Canis lupus familiaris: one gene and its partner. The protein of the gene in region 2 purifies or fractionates together with the protein of the main gene of each other region. This does not show direct contact. Links are inferred from orthologs where the notes say so. Each region holds a gene or a part of one and is shown on either strand. Other genes may lie near its edges. The genes, in order: POLR1E and NFKBIB.

Region 1 (11,083 bases), on a different chromosome or scaffold from region 2:
AGATCACCTGGGGGAAAAGGCATGCTATTCTAACCAACGTTTGTGAAAAATAAGGAGGGAAGGAGAAGAGGAGGAATTTGCCGCATCAGAAATAGAAGCAGGAAGATGAGGGTACTGCAATCAAAAGAGCCTGGTGTTCCCGCAGGAACAGAATGGACAGTTGGACAGAACACAGAATGTGCTAAAGTGAGAAGGATAGCTTTTTAAATCATCTTCTACAAAGAAAAGGATGGAGTTGGGGCAGCTGGCTAATCCTTTGGAAAATATAAGGTCTTTACCATATGGCAAAAAAGTATCTTCATTAAAATTTATATGTAAAAAGTAAAATTGTAAAAATACGGAGAGAAAACATAAGAAAATATTTATATAATCATAGGGTTTGGAAAGATTTTTCTAAAAATTACTAAAATCCCATCTTATTTATTTTTTCTTAGGTAGGCTCCATGCCCAGCAAGGAGCCCAATGTGGGGCTTGAACTCACGACCCTGAGACCAAGACCTGAGATAGACAGACGCTTAACCAACAAGCCACTCAAACACCCCTAAAATCCCCCCCTTTTTTTTAAAAGATCTTATTTATTCATGAGAGACACAGAGAGAAAGAGAGGCAGAGATACAGGTAGAGGGAGAAGCAGGCTCCACGCAAGGAGCCCGATGTGGGACTTGATCCTGGGACCCCAGGATCACGCCCTGAGCCAAAGGCAGGTGCTCAACCACTGAGCTACTCAGGCATCCCCTAAAACCTCATTTTAATAGAAAGGCTGCTCTTATGTAAACTTTCTCTTATGTTCTCATAATGCTTTTGAACAAATACACTTTTAAACAATACAATTAAACACTCAAGCTACTGATGAATTTAGGAACAGAAAAAGGTCCACTGATCCCAGAGTGAAGCACTATCTGTAAAGGCTCACTTCATCGTATCAGTCTTTTTGTCCAAAACTTTCCTGTGATTCCCAGACACTGAGGCTTTCTCCCTTCGCACCCTGGCACTCAGGACACAGTGTAAACATACCCGTTCCCATGCCCGTCTCCTCCGCTTGACTGTGAGCTCCCTGAGGGCAGATGTTTCTTACTATTTCCAAAGTCTGTTCCCAAGAAGGTGCTCAGTGAGAGTGAGGAAGGAACCCAGCCCTAACACACCCTTATTTCCATCTGTGGAGCAGGTAAGAGATCTCAAGAGACAAGGAAGCTGTCTCAATGAGCAGACTCTTACTCCAAGTCCCAGCTGCTTACCAGTTACACCCTTCGCATCAATAATATTCTCTGCAGCTTTAGCTACTGCACAGTTCAGAGATTCACTGCCAACTGTGTTCATTCTTCTGGAGTTCAAAGCCCGCTTCTGTTTGGTGGTTCCAAAGGCTTCAATGCAAGAATCCATCTGTGCATAGACAAATTTGGTTTGTGTAGGGACAGTCTGGGCACTACTACTCCTAGCTGTGTGACCATGCGGAAACTCAGCCTTTCTAGGCCAGGATTACCTCACCTATAAATCAGGCTAAATCATACCTCTCTATCTCACAGGCTGGTGTATTAGCAGATCTGAAGTACCTGCTTTGGCTAATTTTTTTTTTTAATTTTTATTTATTTATGATAGGCACACAGTGAGAGAGAGAGGCAGAGACACAGGCAGAGGGAGAAGCAGGCTCCATGCACCGGGAGCCCGACGTGGGACTCGATCCCGGATCTCCAGGATCGCGCCCTGGGCCAAAGGCAGGCACCAAACCGCTACGCCACCCAGGGATCCCTGAAGTACTTGCTTTGGAAACTGTCATGGGCTCTTTACAAATCAACAGTGTCTCCATTTGTACAGTGAAAAGCCTGGATCAGAATGAGGATTGGTAAATCTGGCACATAACTTACCATTTTCCAGCCTTACACCCATAGCAGATGTTGCTAATCACTCACTCTTTCCCACTGAGCCTGAAGACAGCCTCACACCTTCTCAATACAGTGCTCCAGGCAGCACTGAAGACTCAATCAATTTGCAATCCTGGAGTGAGATTAGCTTTATAGGAACCACCTACGCTGAAAATCCTGAAGTTTACTCTGTTTTAATGTGAAAGCTTCCAGGCTACAGCCAGAATTTTCTGAAACTTGCATTCAATCCAAAAACAAGTGTTACACTACACCTATGTCAGCCCAGAGAATCAGTTCCAAACACTGGGATGGAGCTGAGTATAGCTGCCCCAGGCGGGAGGACGGCGCTCTGTGAAGCTGAGAAGCCTCCACAGGCAGGCTGACTGGAGAACCACAGACAGAATGAGCTGGGAGCAGCCCTGTGCTCAGTCAGCTCATTTTCCTGATGGAGAAGCACAAGGCACAGAAGGAACGTGAGGCAGGTCCCATGTCTCACTTCTGTCATTCTTACCTTTTCTCTAAAAGTTTTGGCCTGACTCTCTTGTGTCAAGTCGCTCTCAAGTGATTCATCTATCAAGACACAAAACAAAAATAGGAAAAAAGGAAGCTGTAAGGCCCAGATTATAATAGCATTTAATATTTATTCACTGTTAATCTAAGACAGACAGATTTCTTTACTGTAGGACTTCCCAGAGTTTAACATGATGGATCCTATGAATATTTAGTCTGTCGCTTTAGTATACAGTTGGAGGATATGGAGAAGAAATTAAGGAGTCAAATGAAGGGGTCATCTGGTCCAACCTCTTCATTTTACAAATAAGGAAAAAGCCTCCCAACGAAATGATTTGTCCTAAGTCAGTTCACCAGGCAGTGGCCGAGATGGGATTAGAAACCAAGTCCTCGGCTCTTTGCAGTAAATAGTTTTGCCCGCCTTATAAAAGATAAGCAAGCATAAATGTAAGGTATGTGTTACTTACATGAAGCTCTCTTATCTCCCATAAAGTATTCATATAAGGGCAGTATAATCTAGAGGGTAGGAGTATAAGCTCTAGAGTGGCCTTGTCTGAGTTTCAATCCCAGGTCATATAGATAGATAAAGACGGATAAAGGAAATTTATATTTTTATATATACACATTATAATTATATATAAAGGTGTGTGTATATATATATATACACACACACACACACACATCAACATTATGTCCCTGTCAAACTCTGTACCAGTTTCGTCATCGATAGAACCACCAGAGGGTTGTCACATGAATTATGACAATCCTCGTGCATTAAAAGTACTTAGAACAGTGCCTGACAAATAGTTAAGGACTCAATAAATGCTGCATGTGTGTGTACGTGTATATATATGTTGGCTAGAATAAACTAGTATTTACACATTTTTTACCTGTAAAAACAAAAATTTGAGAACAATTTCCTTTGCCTCCTTGGAAGTCAGAAGAGCACTTGGAGGATTATTTATTTATTTTAAAGATTTTATTTATTTATTCATGGGAAACAGAGAGAGAGAGGGAGAGGGAGGGGGAGGCAGAGACAGAGACAGAGGCAGAGGCAGAGGGAGAAGCAGGTTCCCTGCAGGAAGCCCGTGGGACTCGATCTGGGTCCAGGATCACGCCCTGGGCTGAAGGCAGCAGCTAAACTCCCTGAGCCACCCCGGCTGCCCTGGAGGATAATTTAAATGTAGATGTATTTGTTCGCAAAGCAAGGAGTCCTTAACCTACAGACTCTGGACCCCTAGGAGAGTCGCAGATGGGACTCAGAGCCCTTTACAATTATATGCAAAATTTCATATATATTCTTACGTATTACGTATGTTTCTGGAAAGTAGGTCCAGTCCTTCAGATTCTTTCTTTTTTTTTTAAGATTTATTTATTTATTTATGATAGACATAGAGAGAGAGAGAGAGAGGCAGAGACACAGGCAGAGGGAGAAGCAGGCTCCATGCTGGGAGCCCGACATGGGACTCGATCCCGGGACTCCAGGATCGCGCCCTGGGCCAAAGGCAGGCTCTAAACCGCTGAGCCACCCAGGGATCCCCTGGTCCTTCAGATTCTTGAAAGGACTGGCACCACTGCTCTGCAGGAATAAAGCCAGAACTACTGCCTTGGAAGGCATCAGGCAGATCTACTGTGACCCTAACAATCCTTCCTCAACTATACCCTCCCTCACTGTGGTTCTCAGTATTTAAGATTTAGAGAACAGGAGCCCCTTGAGTCTGACCCTCTGACCTATCATTCTGGAAGATCCCACACTCTGGCCCTGAGCATCATAAAATGCCAAAGAAGAGAAGCAGTACAAGCTCTCTCACTAAATTAGGGGAAAAAATGGATCTCCTCCTAATTAGAAAGTATAGAGAGACTTCTCATCAACATGAAAAGGGCTGTCTAACCTCTAAGTAACTCCCATCTTCTCTAAAGCCTCTACTCCAGGGCAGCCCCTGAGCCACCCAGAAGGCAGACGCTGAGCCACCCAGGCGTCCCCCTCACCACCTTTTAGTCTCCCTCCCCACCTTTTAAAGATTTTATTCACTGATTTGAGAGTGAGAGACCACAAGCACAGAGAAAGAGGGAGAAGCAGACTCCCTGCTGAGCAGGACCCTGAGATCATGACCTGAGCCAAAGGCAGACGCTTAACTGATCCACCCAGGCAACCCTGCTCAAATGGCTTTAACTGATTATTTTCTGATCTCAAATCTGTAAACATAGCAGCGACAGGACCTGTATCTGTTCTGCTACATCCCTAGCCACTAACTTGTGCCTGGAGCAAAGTAAGTTATCAATAAATATTTGCAGGAAGGCACCCTTTTAAAAATAACAAATGTGTTTTACAAATCAAAACCAAACTCATCCAGCAAACCTAAAACATGCAGTGTTCTTGCAAGCCTTCGTGACTGGGTCCTACCTGCAAACAGTGGCTGCATGTTGAACAATTCAGCATCATACACTTGCATCTGGCCAGAGGTCTTGTTGAGAATTCCCACAAAGTGCCTGAGCAAAGTTGGAATAATACCAATGACAAAGGATTCCTCAAAAAGTACTGTTTTACAACTTCCTTTTTCCTGCTTAAAAGTTCTTAACAGTCCTTCAGCAGGGAGCCTGCTTCTCCCTCTCCCTCTGTGCTCTTAAAACAAAAAAGTTGCTGAGAGCAAATCTTAAAAGTTCTAATTACAAGAAAAAAATTGTAATATGTGTGGCAGTGGATGACTTTTTTTTTTTTTTTTTTTTTTAAGATTTTATTTGAGAGGGAGAGAAAGAGTGAGAGCAGGAGGAGGGAGAAGCAGACTCCTTGCTGAGCAGGGAGCCCAACATGGGGCTTGATCCCAGGAAGCAGGGATCATGACCTGAGCCAAAAGCAGAGGCTTAATCAACTGAGCCACCCAGGCACCCCTGGATGACTGCTTATTGTGGTGACCATTTTGCAACATATACAAATATCTAATCATTATATTATATACCTAAAACTAGTGTAAAGTTATATCGCAGTTAAAAAATTATTATTTAAGACTTTTTAAAGTAATCTTTACTCCCAAAGTGGGGCTCAAACTCACAGCCTCAAGACTAAGAGTCCCAAGCTCCAATGACTGAGCCAGCCAAGCACCCCTAAAAATTATCTTAAAGAAAATTACAAATGAATGAGATTTTAGGAAATCCAACAAATGTTAACTTATTTTTTCTTTTTAGGCATGTTGGTTGTGAAGGCCCCTGGATCTGGGAACCCAAGGACATGGTAAACCTCTCCAGATTTGCCCCCGACTCCTAAAATAAAGACCGAAAACAACAGTGCCAGGCTCACCACCACTATCCTCCCCTTGTTGTCCCTTCCCCAACCCCTACCTGCACAAAGTGTTGCATTTGAGGGCTCCAGTCCCGAAATTGTTTCCCACGTAGGAAAGTCTGTCTGTTTCAGCTGCCTAAAATGTAAAGTGAAAAAGCACCACCACAACCAATGTTGAGAGGTATCAAGCATATTGTCTCCCTTTCCCACATTTGCAAAAGCTTTAGAATCCAAACCACAGTGGATCAGAACTAGAGAGCCTCTGGGAGGTGATCCAGCCCCACTCTCCAAGTGAATCTGGGTGTCTCTGGGAGAAAGGCAAGAGGACTTTTGAAAGGGAAGCCCCATATAGTGCTGGCTTCTAGCTGGTCTGAAAAGTGCTCAGGGGAGCTATACCACAGGACTTGGGAGAGAGCTCCTGGGCTAGCACTTAGAGGCATGCAACAAAATGGTTCTGCCAGCAACCTCCTGGGCCCAAAGTCCAAGCCTTCCTGAACTTCTTTGTCCATCTCTCCCATGGCTGCTGCTTATATGCTGGCAGGACTATGGAGACAGCTAATTCACTCCTCAATCACAGCCAAGCTTTCCTGCTTCCCTATGTTTGTCCCTGCTCTCCTTTTCACTTGGAATAGGGAACCTCAGCTGTCAAACCGTCCTCCAGTCTTCAGAGCTTAGCTGCTATGTGTCCTCCCCCAGGAAGGCCTTCTGACAAGCAGAGACTTCCTGAGCTCAAATGAACTCGTTCCAGGCTCAGAGCTTGCAGGCTTGTGTGAGTTACTGAACTCAAAACCAGTTCTCACCTTTCGAAAGCAGTTGTTCTCACCCAGCAAATCACCCTTGGTTGGGGGGGGGTGAGGGGGCGTGAGGGACACCTCTGGGAATTCTGGGTGTCACAAAGAGGAGGTGCTACTGGTATCTAGTGGTTAGAGACCAGGGAAGCTGAACATCCCGCAATGCACAGGTCTGGCCCACAACACAGAATTATCTGGATCAAAATGTCAATAGTGCCAAGACTGAGCAACCCTGCTCTAGAGTAGGAGCTCCCCCAGGGTGGAGCCAAGTCCCATTTCGCTATTTCCCGTGCAGCTTACAGCACAGCCACGGTGGGTGCTCAATAAAAGCTTGCTGAATGAATAGATCAATGAAAGGTCATCACTTCACCAAAAGTACATAACTGAATGAATGGAGCCTGTCCCCACACCCCAACCTGCTGGGACTCACGGTTCTCCCAAGGCTCATTTGCTATCTCTTTTCTCCTCTCCCTCCCTCCCACATCCACCCACACCCAAGCGCCTCCAAGACCTTCAGAAATCTGCAGAGTGGAGGCAGCTGGCCCCCGCAGCACTTACCAGAATCCGCTGACTCCTCTTCCTGGGGTTTGTGGAGTCATTGCTCTTGTACAAAGTAAAACGCACGTTGCCTGGATTCTGCAGCTTCCCGTTGGAGAACTGCACTGTAAGATTGCAGCGCAAAAATGAGATGAGTAGAAGGACCCACAGTGTGTATGGTGGGGAGGAACCGGACTGTTCGTTGGGAGAGAGCGTCTGAAGGCATGGGAGTGGTAAGGAAGCCCAGGCCTGAAGGGGGGCCTGAAGGAGGTCCCTGCCGGTCGGGAAGAGGAGACCGGGAGGTGAGGGCAGTGCTGGCGAAGGGCCGCGACGGAAGGAGATGACCAGGGTTAAACAGCTGAAGCCTAGCCCAGACCGTGGAGAAAAGGATACGGGGCAGGTGTGAGTGCGTGACGGGGTGACTGGGAGAGCCCTGAGGAGGAGGCTGCCTGGGATGTCCCCATCCAGGTGGTGACAGAGAGATGGGGGGTGACCAAGTCCCAAGCAGTGCCGGAGGCTAGAGGGCGTCTTGGCCCAGCCGGGAAAGGGGTCCGGCAGGGGCAGGAGGGCTGCAGAAGCACCCAGACGGGAGCGGAGGGAGCTGTGCGGGACTCGGCTCCGGCTCCGCGGTCTTTACCCAGTACGGCTCTCTGGCTCTCGTCGGGCTGCCCACAGTATAGCCACCGCGCACTCGGCAACACCTCCGCCGCCATCTCCCGGTCCGGCCGCCAAGGCTAAGGACCCGGATAGACTCGGCCCGGAGCGCCTTAGCGGTCCACACGCGGCGGCAGAACCGCGGGGCGGAAGAGGCGTGGCCTCCTCGGCCCCGCCCCGCCCCGCGCGTGCGCACACGGCGCGGCCCCGCCCCCGCCGCGCTCCCCCGCCCACTCTTCGCCCCGCCCCGCCGCATGGAGAGGCGGGGACTCTCTCTGCCAACCCTGGGGGCCCCAGGCCTCTGCCCCGCTGGCCTCCCGGGGGCGCCGCGCTCGCCTACGCGTTGAGGGTTGTGGGGGATCAGGCGACTTAGCAGAGCGGAAGGGCCAAAGCCGGACCCTTTGAGCGTGGATTCAAAGGCAGGTATCTTTGAGGGCAAGAACTCAGGTGGCCTCATCTGTTACCCAGGTCGCCTTCGAGTCTCAACAAAGTACGTCACCAATTGTCCCAGTAAAGTGTTTACAGCAGAAAGAACCTGTCCGAAAACACAGGTTGCATTTACTCAACGGTCTTTAGTTTCCTTCAACCCAGAACAGTTCCTCATTTGCAGTTCCTGCAAATTTTAAAGATTACAGGCCAGTTGTTCTGTAGAATGTCCCTCAATCTGGATTTGTCTAATGTTTCCAAATGACTAGTTTCAGGTTATGCGTGCGCCTTTGGCAGGGCTATCACGGATACGATGCTCACTGTATCCTATTAGGTGGCCCACAATTTCTCTTTGTCCGATTACTGATAACTTTGACCACTTCAACCAGTTAGAGGTTTCCCTGCTGTAAAATTACTCTCTTTGCTTTGTAATTTCCCTTTGTACCTGACTCTTATTTTGTGAGTGGGTATTGAGAAACTAATTTCCTGTTCATCGCACTACCAATTTATTCATTTATTTATATCAGTCTGGACTTGTAGATTCCTATTTTATTCAATAGATTAGAATCTACTATCACCTATTTTCAAGTTCTAGTTTTATCAGATCGGGCCAGTGGAAACCCCGTTAAGTTGGTTTCTGGGTTCTTTTTACATGTCCACATCATTTTTTTGAACGTGTCCTTACTTTCTGGCACAAGATATTTCAATTTGTCATGTAGTTTCCCTGCCCCAGCCCTGGAATCACCCATTTCTCCAAGGAGTTCTGGTTTCTTTTGGTAGGAAACAGTATTCAGAAACTAAGATCTCTGTAGTAGGTATGGACTGCTTGGGGGATGTCACAGCTCCCAGGCCTGAATGAACTGACTTAGGGATTATATGTAAGTAAACACACTTTCACAACTAACAGTAAGTTTCTAAAACTTAGAATTTCTAGATCCATATATATTGAAAACCATGAGATCATAGTGACTTCTAATTCCAATTCAGCACCACAGAGTTTATTCTGATTTTCCTTCCTCCCATATTTGTAACTTCCTTCTCTGACAGTGAGAAACCTGGGTTCCATTAGTTAATATATTACTTATTTGATCAGTCCTCCTTTAACACATCTCCCATCACTATCACCACCACCATCACCTGACATGGGGGTGATTATTAGCCCGTTCAGGCTCTAACACCTTAAACCAAGTTCTGACCACTACATGGATACTGTATTAGAGTTCTCCAGAGAAGCAGAACCAGTAGGATATCTCTATCTATATATATATTTAGAGAGAGAGAGGTTTATTAATATGAATAATTGGTTCACACAATTATGAAGGCTGAGAAGCTCCACAGTTTGCCATGTGTACACCAGTAGGAAAGCTGGTGGTGTAAGTCTGAGGGCCTGAGAACTAAGGAACCCTGCCAGTGGTTTAATTTCAAGCGCAATGATCAGAGAAGATGAGACAAGATGTTCCAACTCACAAATGAGGCAAGAAAAAAACCGAAAACACTCCTTCTTCCTCCACCTTTTGTTCTATTCAGAACGTCAAGAGATTGGATGATGTCACCCACACTGGTGAGGGCAGTCTACTTTACGGAGTCCACTAATTAAATTAAAATGGTAATATCCAGAAATACTCTCATAAACACACATAGAAATAATGTTTAATCTGGCACCTAGAAGCCAGTCAAGTTGACACATAAAATTAACTATCGCAGATGCCCTCCTTATCCTGTTTAGACTCTGACAACCCTCACCAGGGTGTCCCCCTGCCCAGATGCCCTTCTCACCTTGATTGGGCTCAGAAAGTCTGTACCAGGCCACACTTTCCGCTTGGATAACCTTCTCATCTTGCTTGGCTCCAGTACCCCTGCTCTAGACCACTGCAGGCTCCCCTGTACCTCTGAGGGGAAAGCTACTTTGCTTGATCACTGAATGGCTTTTGGATTGAGTTGTTCAGGAAGAGAAAAGGAAAAAAGGTAAGGGGGAAGGAGCTTAATTGCCTAATTATTTACCTGTCTCCCCTATTGGATACAAACTTACTTGAGGCTAACAATAAAGTTGGGGGTTTAGCAATAAACGGATTTGTGGATTATTTATTTATTTATTTATTTATTTATTTATTTATTTATTTATTTAAGAAACAGAGATAGCACATAAGCAGGAAGGGCTGGGAGAGGGAGCGAGAACCTCAAGTGGACTCAGAGCTGAGTACAGAGCTGGGCATGGGGCTCAATCCCACAACCCTGAGATCATAACCTAAGCCGAAACCAAGAATCAGATGCCCAACCAACTGTGCCACCCAAGCATCCCAATTTATATATTGTTTTGTGCATCTCTAGCTCCCGGAACAGTACCTGGCACATAAGTAGATCCTCAATAAATATCGAATGAATGAATGACACGGCAAGGAATGAATTTGAATCATCACTAAATCCTAGGAATCCCGGGACTGGAGCTCAAAGATGCTTACTAACCGTGCTTCAAATTGACTGGCATTGGGGTTCACACAGAGTAGATTCTCTGTAAATGTTGGTTGGTTGAATGAACACATGAACAGTTAAGTCAAAGTTAAGGGGTGACAAAGAAGACAGCATGACTACAAGGAGTCAATTGTAGCTGAGAGGTGTCCTGACCCTCTTAATATAAGGACATTTAGCCTTGCTGCTCAAAGTGTGGTTCTTGGGCTAGCAGCACTAATGTTATCTGGGAACTCATCAGCAGTGCAGAATCTGCAGCCCTATCAAATCTCCTGAATCAGAATCTGCACTTAACAAGATCCCTGGGTGATTCGTGTGTGCTTCAAGGTTGGGAAGCGCTGTTGTAAAAGATTGTTTCCCTTTTGGGCACATGTTTACCAGTCTGACGAGTCTGTGAAAGTCCTTAAAATTGGATGCTTTATGGCTACATGGAAGAATGAAGAAAGCACACATGGATTGAGAGTAAAGACTCCCAGAATAACCACAGTTAGGAATTCAAAGTGACAGCGCTTCTACTTGGGGAAGCAAAGTGTTAATGGCGGGGTGACTAGGAAGGGGACTGT
Region 2 (11,071 bases):
TGAGACGGTCCTGGGCCCTCCCTCCGTCCTCACTCCACCTTTCCAGGGCTAGCTGCCTCATCTGTGCCCAAGGTCTTGGCCTAGGCACTGATCATGCCACCTCTTAGTCCCCAGATCCGAGGTTCCCACAGCCCCCTGGATGTCTCCCTCTAAGTGACCCCTGGCCTCTCTCTCCCACCACATCTCAGACTGGCCTTGGCATCTCTCCTAAACCTGCGCCTCCTCCCAGCCCCCAACTCAGTGTGGCTTCTGTCCCCCAGTCTTTGTCTCCCTCTCCTGCCCTCCCACCATCATGGGTCCCCTCCCTAGGGCTCTCCCTGGCCCAGCCTGTTCTCCCTCTGGGGGCCCGGTCTTGGCCTCCTCCCTAAGCTCCCAGCCTAGTCCCTACCTCTGATTGACTCTACTGCCCTCCGGGTGATGGCCTGGCTGTGTCAGCCCACCCCCTCCACCCCAAGCACCCCTCTCGCTGGCTTTTCCAGTCTGACCATCCGATCATCAACATGTATGGAGTCCGCCCTGATGTCAGCTCCAGGATGGCAGGGATTTTTCATGTTCACCAGTGGACGCCCAGCACCGAGAATGGGGTCTGGCCCCTGGCAGGAGCTCCAGAACTATCCACCACTGATCGAATGGATACTTGCTGTGCGCTACACCAGGGCTGGGCCCTGCAACGGACCTCACAAAAACACAATTCTGACCAATGCACTCCCCTGATTAAAACCCTTCCACCGACCCCGTTCCCCATCATTCTCCGCTCCGACTCCAAGCCTTTTTTTAACAGGAACCGCCCTTCCAAATATATTTAAAATTTTCTATAAGCTTTGCAAAAGCTTTGACCATTAGACGATGTACGACTTGAGGCACTCGCATCCCGTTCCCACCGCAGTCACCATAACCACTATTAACAGTACAGTGGTAATTACTCTAGATTTTTTTCTCTGCATATAAAACTCGTTATTTTTCCAGAAATGGGTCATGCCACAGTACAATGCTGCACCTTGCGTCTTCCGCAGAACAATATACCATAGATCCACCTCATTCTTTAAAAAAGCTACATAGTGTTGCATTGTAGGGATGAGCCATAGTTCATTTAACCCGCCTACTGACAGCCACTTGGGCTGTTTCCAGGGTTGCCCCATAGCAGACAATACTGTAATTTATATCCTCGGATCTCTCTTGCTGGGACTGAGGATCCCTTTTTAACATTAAAACTTTCTGTGACAGCGGTTGAGCCCTGGGAGCCAGGCAAGGGAGAAGCCCTGGCCTGACAGGAAGCTTTCAGACCCTCAGTGTGGCCCTCTGTGCATCTGTCAGGTGCCTTCATCACAGCTTCTGTGCTGCCCTACATCTGAACAGCGAGCTCACGTCTGTGGGGGGTTGGCATTCTTTCAGGCTGCAGACAGTGAGCCTCTGTGGAAGGACTCGAGGGCCCTGCCCAGCATGTGGGAGCGACTTGGGCCTAAGGGGGAGCTGGAGGTGCTGGTTGGGGCCTTCAAGTCTTCGTGAGGTGGCCTGGCTACCTCTTCCTGAAGCGTCTGGAAGGCAATGTGCTGGGTGCCGTGGGTTGCAAAGCAGTCCCTGCTCTTCTAGCTGGGGGGCCAGAGGACAAGTTACAGAACAGCTCTGCTGCAGATTCCTCATCTGTGAAATGGCCCCAGTAGGCCTTGAACTGCCCCCCAACTACCACCACCACAGGGATTCTGGGAAGGTGAAATGCTATGATGTACACAGAGCACTGGGTGGAGTACCCGGCTCAATAAATGCTAACCTCAAATATAATTAGCTAACCACCCACAGCTACCAGACCATTGACCACATCACACCCTTCGTGCCCCCCTCCCAGTCCTGGTACAAGCTGTACACTCTGCGTGGAACGCCATTTCTCACTGTGCCTAAGAAAATTCTAAGTCACTCTTCACTTACTGTCAAGTGTCTGTACCTCAATCTGACTCCTGGACCGGCCTGTGGATTTGCCCTGGGAACGGACCGGCTGGAAACTGTTGACCCTCACAAAGTTTACTCTGCCTTGAGCTACTTTCATAATCACTCTGGAGGGTCATTTCTAGTCACTTGTCTGTGGGATCTGGGCGTTCAAGGACCAACTTGGATGCCTGTCTCTTCCATGCCCAGCATAAATGAGGTTCAGAAAGGTTAAGGGTAGGGAGCAAGGAAAGAGAAAAGTCAGGGAGGACAGGTCTGGAGTTGAGGGTGCACAGCTTTTTCTGCCAGTCCCCGGAATCCACCATTCCCAGGGGGCCGAACCAGGAGTGGGGGCAAGGGGCTGGGGTGATGCCCTGAGGGCCCTGGGGTAACTGTCTCCCCTCTGCCACCTCCACCCCCCCCAGAGTGTGGGGTGTGGGAACACGTCCATTTCTCTCCTTCCCTCCACCCTTCCCCAAATCTCACCTGAGCCTCCTGCACCTTCCCTGCCTGGGTCTCCAGAGGGTCAGAGGCTGGGGGAGGAGGGGGAGCAGACGTGGTTACAGTGCGGGGCACAGTTAAGTGGGGATGAAGGGCTTCAAAGCAGAGGGGCAAGGGGCAAGAAGACCCACCAACCTAATTATACTGGGGTGGGAGGTGGTGGTAAAAGCTGAGCAGAGGGAGGGAGGGGATGGGGAAAAGCAGATCTTATTAGGATAGACAGTGCTGTCTGGAGAAGTGGTTAGTGACAGACAGAGGCTGGGGCAGGAAGGTTTGGGAGAGGGAGGAGAAAGTAAAGCATACAGGCATGGAGGAAGACTTAGAAGTGAGGAAGCAAACAGTAGTGAGTGTGTGTGTGAGCACGTGTGTGTGCAGGGAGGGTTAGGGTTTACAAACAGAGGGAAGTTTAAAAAAGGAAGAGAGAAAACAAAATACGCTTAGCAGAGACAGGTTTAGGAAAGGAGGTGCAGTGGAGACAGCACGTTTAGGAGGGGCACAGGAACTAGAGGGACGAGACAGGAGGGGGCGCCAGGGGTCCCCGAGCATCCTACAGTTCCCCCTAACAACCAGGTACCCTTAGCAACCGGGGCCGCGGCAATCTAAGTCCTTAGCAACGAGGGTCCTCAGCAACCGAGGTGCGAGAAACACGCGGTCATTAGTAACTTAGGGGACGTAGCAAAGGACCCTTACAATCTCGCGACCCAGAAACCCACCAGCCTGGCAAGATGGATCACTTAGCAACGACCCCCCACCCCCGCCCCGATTCCCACTGGCCGCCATGCAGCCCCCGTCTCCAGCCCCACCACGCCGGTCCTCGGGCCCCGGGGCCTGCAGCCCTCAGCCAGGCCCCGGTGCGACCCGACCCTCCCACCGGGGCCCCCGACTCACGGTCCGGCTCGGCCATGGGCGCGGGGCGGGGGCCCTCGGGGCTGTCACCGACTGCTCTGTCCCGTGACGGCACCGGAAACAGGAGGGGCAGAGACAGGGCAGAGAACTACGACTCCCAGCAGTCATCGAGGATGCATACAGGCTTTTCGTCCAGCGGCGCCTGCCGCTCTCGGGCTAGGAAGACACGGACGGCGAGACTACGAGTCCCAGAGGGCTCCGCGCAGGCAGCCATGTTGGTAAAGGGCGGCCGGAAACTGTGGGAATGGGTAGAGAGCCGCAGTCCGTCTGAATACTCTGAATGGTCACTGTGTGGTAAGGGGGCGGGGCGTGTGCTCTTTAGGTCATTCTGATTGGGTGAGCCAAGGGGGAGTGTTGGGGAATTCCCCGCAGGGCGGAAGCGCCGGGGCTTCAGGCAAAGCCAGCTACAGGCGGGCGGCCGCTGGGGCCCCTGAGGCTTCGGGGGCCATGGCCGGGGTCGCGTGCTTGGGGAAAGCTGCGGAGGCCGACGAATGGTGCGACAGCGGCCTGGGCTCTCTGGGTCCCGACGCAGCAGCCCCCGGAGGACCGGGGCTGGGCGCCGAGCTGGGCCCGGGGTTGTCGTGGGCGCCCCTCGTCTTTGGCTACGTCACTGAGGATGGGGACACGTGAGTGAACCTTAGGCTGCCTAACGGGGCCCTAGGATCCCACCTCTGATTCCCTATTAGTCTCCTATCCCGGCTCCCTAACCTTTCACTCTTAAATCTAACTTCTGATGCTCGACTTTCTGATTTGTAACTCCTAACCTTTAGTAAAACCAATTTCCTAGCCAACTTTGACCCTAACTCCTTAATTTCTCCGACTTTCCTTTCTTGAGCTCTGCTTCATATTGCTCCACATCCCTATCCATTGATCCCCAAACTGGTTTTGATCTTCCCGACCCAAGTCCGGAGACCTTTGTTAGAGTTGTGGTCCAGACAGGCTCCTCCTCACCTCCTACCTCCAAATAGGATCCTTGATCCTTAGCCTCCTGATGGATGCGCCTTGAACTTAGATTTCCAAAATTAATACATGACCTTGATTCTTAACATTCTACCTTCTGAGCACCGATCTTCAGATCTTACATCCAAAGGGAAAACGTAAGCTCCATGATAGCAGGGATTGATGCCTGTTAAGTATTTGCTGAACACCACCACGTTCCAGGCACTGGTTTAGGTGCTGCGATAAAGCAGTGAGGAAAACAGACAAAAATTTCCGCTCTTGTGGAGTTTACATTCTAAGGTGCGTATGTAGACAGACAAAAGGACAGACAGGCTGACAGAAAGACAGGAAGGAAGGGAGGGAGGGAAAGAGGAGAGAGAAGGAACAAAAGAAACTAAGACACAGACGCAAAGTGAGAAAGAAGAGAAAGGAAAAGAAGAAACAAAGAAAAACGAAAAACAGTATAAAGGAAAGGCAGAAAAATAGTGTATCTGAAGGTAATAAGTTCTTTGGGGGAAAAATAAAGCAGGAAAACGAGATCCGTAGAGTATCTGGGGGAGAACTCTCCAGGCAGAAGGAACCAGAATTGTAAAGGGCGGTGAGGGATTGTCCTGGGGTTTTTTTGTGTATTTGTGTCTACTCATCCAGTCATGGTGACTAAACAGGGCTTGACCCATAAGAGGCGTGCAGGAAATATTGTTCTTTCCAAAGACCCCTGCTGAGGTTTCATTAGTTTTCTTTATTGGTTTTTTGCTTTCTATTTCATTGATCTCTGTTTTGATTTTCATTATTGCCCTCTTCGGCTTACTTTGGGTCTAATTTTTTTTTTTCTTTCTTTCTCTCTTTTTTTAAAGTTTCTTAAGGTGGCAGCTGAGATCATTCATTTGAGACCTTTCTTCTCTAACATTGGTGTTTCATGGTATAAATTTCCAGCAGCAGTACTTTAGCAGTCTCTCACAAATTCTGATATGTTGTGTTTTCATGTTCATTTAATTCAAGATACTTTGTAATTTCTCTTTTGATTTCTTCTTTGGCCAGTGGATTATTTAAAAATATGTTATTTAGGGCGCCTGGGTGGCTCAGTTGGTTGAGCTCAGGTTGTGATCTCAGGGTCCTGGGATGAGCCTCCCATTGGGCTCTGTGCTCAAGTGTGGCATCTGCTTGGAATTCTCTCTCTTTCTCCCTCTGCCCTTCCTGCTTATGCTCTCTCTAAAATAAATAAATAAATAAATCTTTTAAAAAGGGGTAGGGGGCAGAGGGAGAGGGAGAGAGAAACCCAAGCAGGCTCTGTTGGGAGCAGGGCGTGATCCCATGACCCTGAGATCAGGGCCTGAGCTGAAGCCAAGAGTTGGTCATCCAACCCACTGTGCCACCCTGATGCCCCTAAATAAATCTTTTTAAAAAAATAAATATGTTATTTAGTTTCCAGATATTTGGAAAGTTTTCCAAATGTCTCTCTTTTATTGATTTTTAATTTAATTCCCTTGTAGACTGAGAACATACTTTGTATGACTTGGATCCTCGTAAATTTATTGAGAATTGTTTTATGGTGCCACACATTATGCGTGCACTTGAAAAGAGTGAATATTCTGCTGTTGTTGGGTGTAGGGTTCTCTAAAAGTCAATTAGTGGTCCTATTGGTTTATCATTTTATATATCCTTACTAATGGTTTCTGTCTCCTTGTTCTATCAATTATTGAGGAGGGGGCATTGAAATCTCCAGCAGTCATTATGGATTTGTCTCTTGTTCTGTCAGGTTTTGCTTTGTGTAATTTGATGCTCTGTTATTAGGGCATGGATATGTAGAATTATTATGTTCTTTTGCTTAGTTGACCTCTTAATCATTACAAAATAACCTTCTCGATACTTGGTAATATTTCTTGCTCTAAAGTCTAGTATGATATTAAAATATTCACTCCTGGGCAGCCCCGGTGGCCCAGCAGTTTAGTGCCGCCTTCAGCCAGGGCATGATCCTGGAGATCCGGGATCGAGTCCCACATCAGGCTCCCTGCATGGAGCCTGCGTCTCCCTCTGCCTGTGTCTCTGCCTCTCTCTCTCTCTCTCTCTCTCTCTCTCTCTGTGAGTCTGTCATGAATAAATAAAATCTTAAAAAAACACAACTCACTCCTGCTTTCTTTTGACTGACTGGTGTTAGCACAGTATATCTTTTTCCACCCTTTTATTTTAACCTATCTTTTAATACCTATATTTAAAGGGTATTACTTGTAGGAAGCATATATAGTTGGGTTTTGCTTTTTTGTTCAGTCTGACAATTTCTGCCTTTTAATTGGAATGTTTAGACCATTTACATTTAGTTATTGATACAGTTATGTTTATCATCCTTTTGCTAATTTTCTACTTAATACATCTCCTTTGTTTACCTTTTCTTCTTTTTCTGCCTTCTTTTGGAACCTGTAAACCTTGTCCCGTTGTATTCTTTTTTTTTTTTTTTTTTAAAGATTTTTATTTATTTATTCATGATAGTCACAGAGAGAGAGAGAGAGAGGCTCAGAGACACAGGCAGAGGGAGAAGCAGGCTCCGTGCACCGGGAGCCCGACGTGGGATCCGATCCCGGGTCTCCAGGATCGCGCCCTGGGCCAAAGGCAGGCGCCAAACCGCTGCGCCACCCAGGGATCCCTATTCTTTTTTTTTTTTTAAAGATTTTATTTATTTATTCATGAGAGACACGGAGAGAGAGAGAGAGAGAGAGAGAGAGAGAGAGAGAGAGAGAGAGAGGCAGAGACACAGGCAGAGGGAGAAGCAGGCTCCATGCAGGGAGCCCGATGTGGGACTCGATCCGGGGACTCCAGGATCACGCCCTGGGCTGAAGGCAGGCGCTAAACCACTGAACCACCCAGGGATCCCCCATTGTATTCTTTTGTTGGTTCATTAGCTTTATGTATTTATTTAAAGATTTTATTTTTAAATTTTATTTATTTTGTGGGGGAGGGTCAGTGGGAAAGGGAGAGAGAATCTCAAGCCGACTCCCAGTATGGAATCCCATGCAGGGCGTGATCTCACAACCCTAAAGATCATGACCTGATCCAAAATCAAGAGTCAGACACTTAACTAAGCTACCCAGGCGCCCCTTAAGGTGTTTTTAAGTAATCTCTGCACCTAACATGGGGCTCGAACTCATAACCCCAAGATCAAGAGTCGCACGCTCTACTGACTGAGCCAGCCAAAAGTCCCTGGTTTGTTAGCTTTAACACTTCTGTTGATTAAGTGGTTGGCAAACTGGCTTCCAGGAAAAATCTAGCCAGCCATCTGCTTTTGTATGGCTGTAAGCTATGAATGGTATTTACATTTTTAAATGGTCGAAAAAAATCAAAAGACTATTTTGTGGCAAGTGAAAATTATTATGAGAGTCACATTTCAGACCCCACAGATGAAGTTCTGCTGGAATACTGCTTTGCTCATTCATTTACATATAGCTGGTGGCTGCTTTTATATCAACCATAACAGCAGAGCTGAGTAGGTAAAAGAGACACTAGAATCCACAAAGCGTAAAATCTTTATCTGGCCACTTACAGAAAAAGTTTTCTGACCTCTGCTTTATAGCTTATACTGTACAGCTTCAACTTATGATGGGTGAAATTTCGCATAGGGTAAAAGATAAAAGAACCTTAGAATAATATATTTCCATTTGTTCCCTCCTGGCCTTTATGTTCTTGTTGTCATACAGTTTAGTTTCACGTGTGTTATAAACTCCACCATACATTGTTAGTAGTTTTGTTTAAACAAACACTCAACTATTTTTTTTCAAATTACCTTCTAAAGGGACTTGTATTAAAAAAAAAGAGAGAGACATAATGAGAAAAAATCTTCCAGATTTACCCACATAGTTGTTATTTTCAATGTTTGCTATTTATGTGTATAGGCCCATGTTGCTGTGGGATGTCATTTTCATTTTGCTTGCAGGTTTCCTTTAACCTTTCTTTGGAGACAACTTATCGTCTGCTGTCGATAAGTTCCTTCGGCTTTTGTATATCTGAAAACATCATTATTTTGTCTTCATTTTTGAAAGATATTTTTGCTGGGTTAAAGGCTTCTAGGTTGGGGGCACTTGGGTGGCTCACTTGGTTAAGCATCTGCCTCCTGTTCAGGTCTAATCCCAGGGTCCTGGGATCGAGCCCCAGATCAGGCTCCCTGCTCAGCATGGAGGAGTTTGCTTCTCCTCCTTCTAACCCTCTTCCTACTCTCTCACTCACTCACTCACTCTCTCTCTCTCTTTCTCTCAAATAAAATCTTAAAAAAAAATCTAGGTTGAGGGATGTCTGGGTGGCTCAGGCAGTGAAGCATCTGACTCTTGATCTCAGCTCAGGTCTTATCTCAGGGTTGAGTGTAAGCCCTGTGTTGGGCTCCATGCCCAGCATGGAGCCCACTTAAAAAGAAAAAAATCCTAGGTTGAGTGTGTCTTTGAATACTTGAAAGGTGTTGCCCCAATCTGTTCCCCTGTCTAATTTCCTATATGACATCCACTATCATCCTTATTTTTATTTTTCTATAAAGTATCTTTTTCTCTCTAGCTGCTTTTGATATTTTTATCTTTTTTTAAAAAAATTATTATTATTATTATTTTTAAATTTTATTTATTTATGATAGCCACACACACACACACACACACACAGAGAGAGAGAGAGGCAGAGACATAGGCAGAGGGAGAAGCAGGCTCCATGCACCGGGAGCCCGACGTGGGATTCGATCCCAGGTCTCCAGGATCACGCCCTGGGCCAAAGGCAGGCGCCAAACCGCTGCACCACCCAGGGATCCCTAAAAAAATTATTTTAAAAAATTTATTTATTTTAGAGAAAGAGAGAGCAAGTGACTACATAAGTGCAAGGGAGGGGCAAAGGGAGAGGCAGAGAATCCCAAGCAGACTCCATGCTGATTGTGGGGCCCAAGTGGGGCTTGATCTCATAACCTAAGGTGAAACCAAGAGTTGGACCCTTAACCAACTGAGCCACCCAGGCACCACTGAGATTTTTATCTTTACCATTGGGGTTTTGAACCAGATTTTTATGTTGGGCTTTGGTATAGTTTTCCTAATATTTCTTGTTCTTGGGAGTCATTGAGCTTCTTGGATCTGTGAGTTTATAGTTTTCATAAGTTTGGAAAATTTTCTAGACATTATTTCTTCAAATATTTCTATCCCCCACATCATTTAGGGACTTAGTTTCAAATATTAGGGACTCCTGCGTGGCTCAGTGGTTGAGTGTCTGCCTTCAGCTCAGGGCGTGATCCTGGAGTCCCGGGATCAAGTTCCGAATCAGGGTCCCTGTAGGGAGCCTGCTTCTCCCTCTGCCTGTGTCTCTGCCTCTCTCTGTTCTCTAAAGAATAAAGAAATAAAATCTTAAAAGAAAAAAAAGTTTCAAATATTGTTAGGCTGCTTGAAGTTGTTCCATAGCTCACTGATGTTCCTTTCATTTTAAAATAGTCTCTTTTGAGGGTGCCCAGCTGGCTCAGTCATTGGAGTGTGAGACTCTTGATCTTGGGGTCATGAGTTCAAGCCCCATGTTGAGTGTAGAGATGACTTAAACATAAAAAAGAAATTAAAAAAATTCTCTTTGTGTTTCATTCTAAATAGTTCCTATCACAAAGTCATTCGGTAGTTTTTTCTTCTATATTATTTATTTTTTTAGATTTTATTTATTTATTCATGAGAGACACAGAGACATAGGCAGAGACAGAAGCAAGCTCCCTGTGGGGAGCCTGTTGCGGGATTCAATCTTGTGACCCCAGTATCATCACCTGAGCCAAAGGCAGCCACTCAACCACAGCGCCACCTAGGCCTTCCCTCTTCTGCATTGTTTAATCTCTGCTAATCCTGTCCAGTGTATTTTTCGTTTCAGATGCTCTAGTTTTTATCTCTAGGAGTTTGATTTGAGTCTTTGGCTCCTATCACCCATGTCTCTACTTAACTTTTGGAATGTATGAGAGTCACTTACAATGAACTCTTTTAATGGTCTTGTTTGCAGATTCAAACACCTGGGTCATTTCTGGGTCAATTTCAACTGATTGATTATTCTCATTGTGGATCATGTTTTTCTGCTTCTTTTCCTACCTTGTAATCTTTGAATAGATGCCAAACATTGTGAACTTTATCTTGTTAGTCTGGCCAGTTGTATATCTTTCTTTCTTTCTTTCTTTGAGATTTTATTTATTCATGAGAGACACAGAGAGAGGCAGAGACATAGGCAGAGGGAGAAGCAGGCTCCCTGCGGGGACTGTGATGCGGGACTCAATCCCAGGACCTGGGATCACAACCTGAGTTGAAGGCAGATGCTGAATCACTGAGCCACCCAGGTGCCCCTATGTTCCTATAAATATTCTTGAATGTTGCTTTGGGATGCAGTTAAACTACTTTTAAGTAGTTTGATCCTTCTGGGTTTTGCTCTTGTGATTTGTTAGGTGGGTCTGAGCAGCGCTCTATCTAGGGTTTATTATTTCCCACTACAGAGGTAAGACCTTCTAGAGCCTTCTACCCAATGTCCTGTATTTTAGGGGTTTTTCCTAGTCTCACCAGTGGCAACAGGCACTATTTCTGAACCCCTGTGAGCAATGGGCACGTTTCCCTAATCTGTTTACATGGTTTCTTCCCCAGACGGGTAGTTTCTCCGTATCGGTGCACTGATCAGTCTTCTCCTAAATCCTCTCGAGGTCCCTCTGCAAATCTCCAGTGTCTTTCCCTGTTCAGGTCTCTCCTCTTAGGTTCTCTGTCCTTTGACTCCCCCTGCCTTGCTGTCCCCCAACCCAGCTCCATCTCACTCATATGCAGATGGCCAGAACCCTGCCTGGGTTTGC

The links.
Region 1: the proteins of NFKBIB (region 2) and POLR1E purify together in Homo sapiens (affinity purification with mass spectrometry; 3 studies listed by BioGRID and IntAct, counting the BioPlex papers as one, with this or other methods). This does not show direct contact. The link is inferred for Canis lupus familiaris from reciprocal best matches to the Homo sapiens genes NFKBIB and POLR1E.

The regions. Positions count from the first base shown.
Region 1 is NC_049232.1:54,123,673-54,134,755, reverse strand, and holds the start of POLR1E (DNA-directed RNA polymerase I subunit RPA49), read right to left. Parts: upstream 7,807-11,083; 5' UTR 7,688-7,806; coding exon 7,612-7,687; intron 7,100-7,611; coding exon 6,996-7,099; intron 5,783-6,995; coding exon 5,706-5,782; intron 4,860-5,705; coding exon 4,774-4,859; intron 2,430-4,773; coding exon 2,371-2,429; intron 1,381-2,370; coding exon 1,236-1,380; intron 1-1,235. UniProt on the Homo sapiens protein: Component of RNA polymerase I (Pol I), a DNA-dependent RNA polymerase which synthesizes ribosomal RNA precursors using the four ribonucleoside triphosphates as substrates.
Region 2 is NC_049222.1:114,996,506-115,007,576, reverse strand, and holds the start of NFKBIB (NF-kappa-B inhibitor beta), read left to right. Parts: upstream 1-3,689; 5' UTR 3,690-3,774; coding exon 3,775-3,953; intron 3,954-11,071. Other genes in the region: SIRT2 (NAD-dependent protein deacetylase sirtuin-2), read right to left, coding at 3,310-3,435. UniProt on the Homo sapiens protein: Inhibits NF-kappa-B by complexing with and trapping it in the cytoplasm.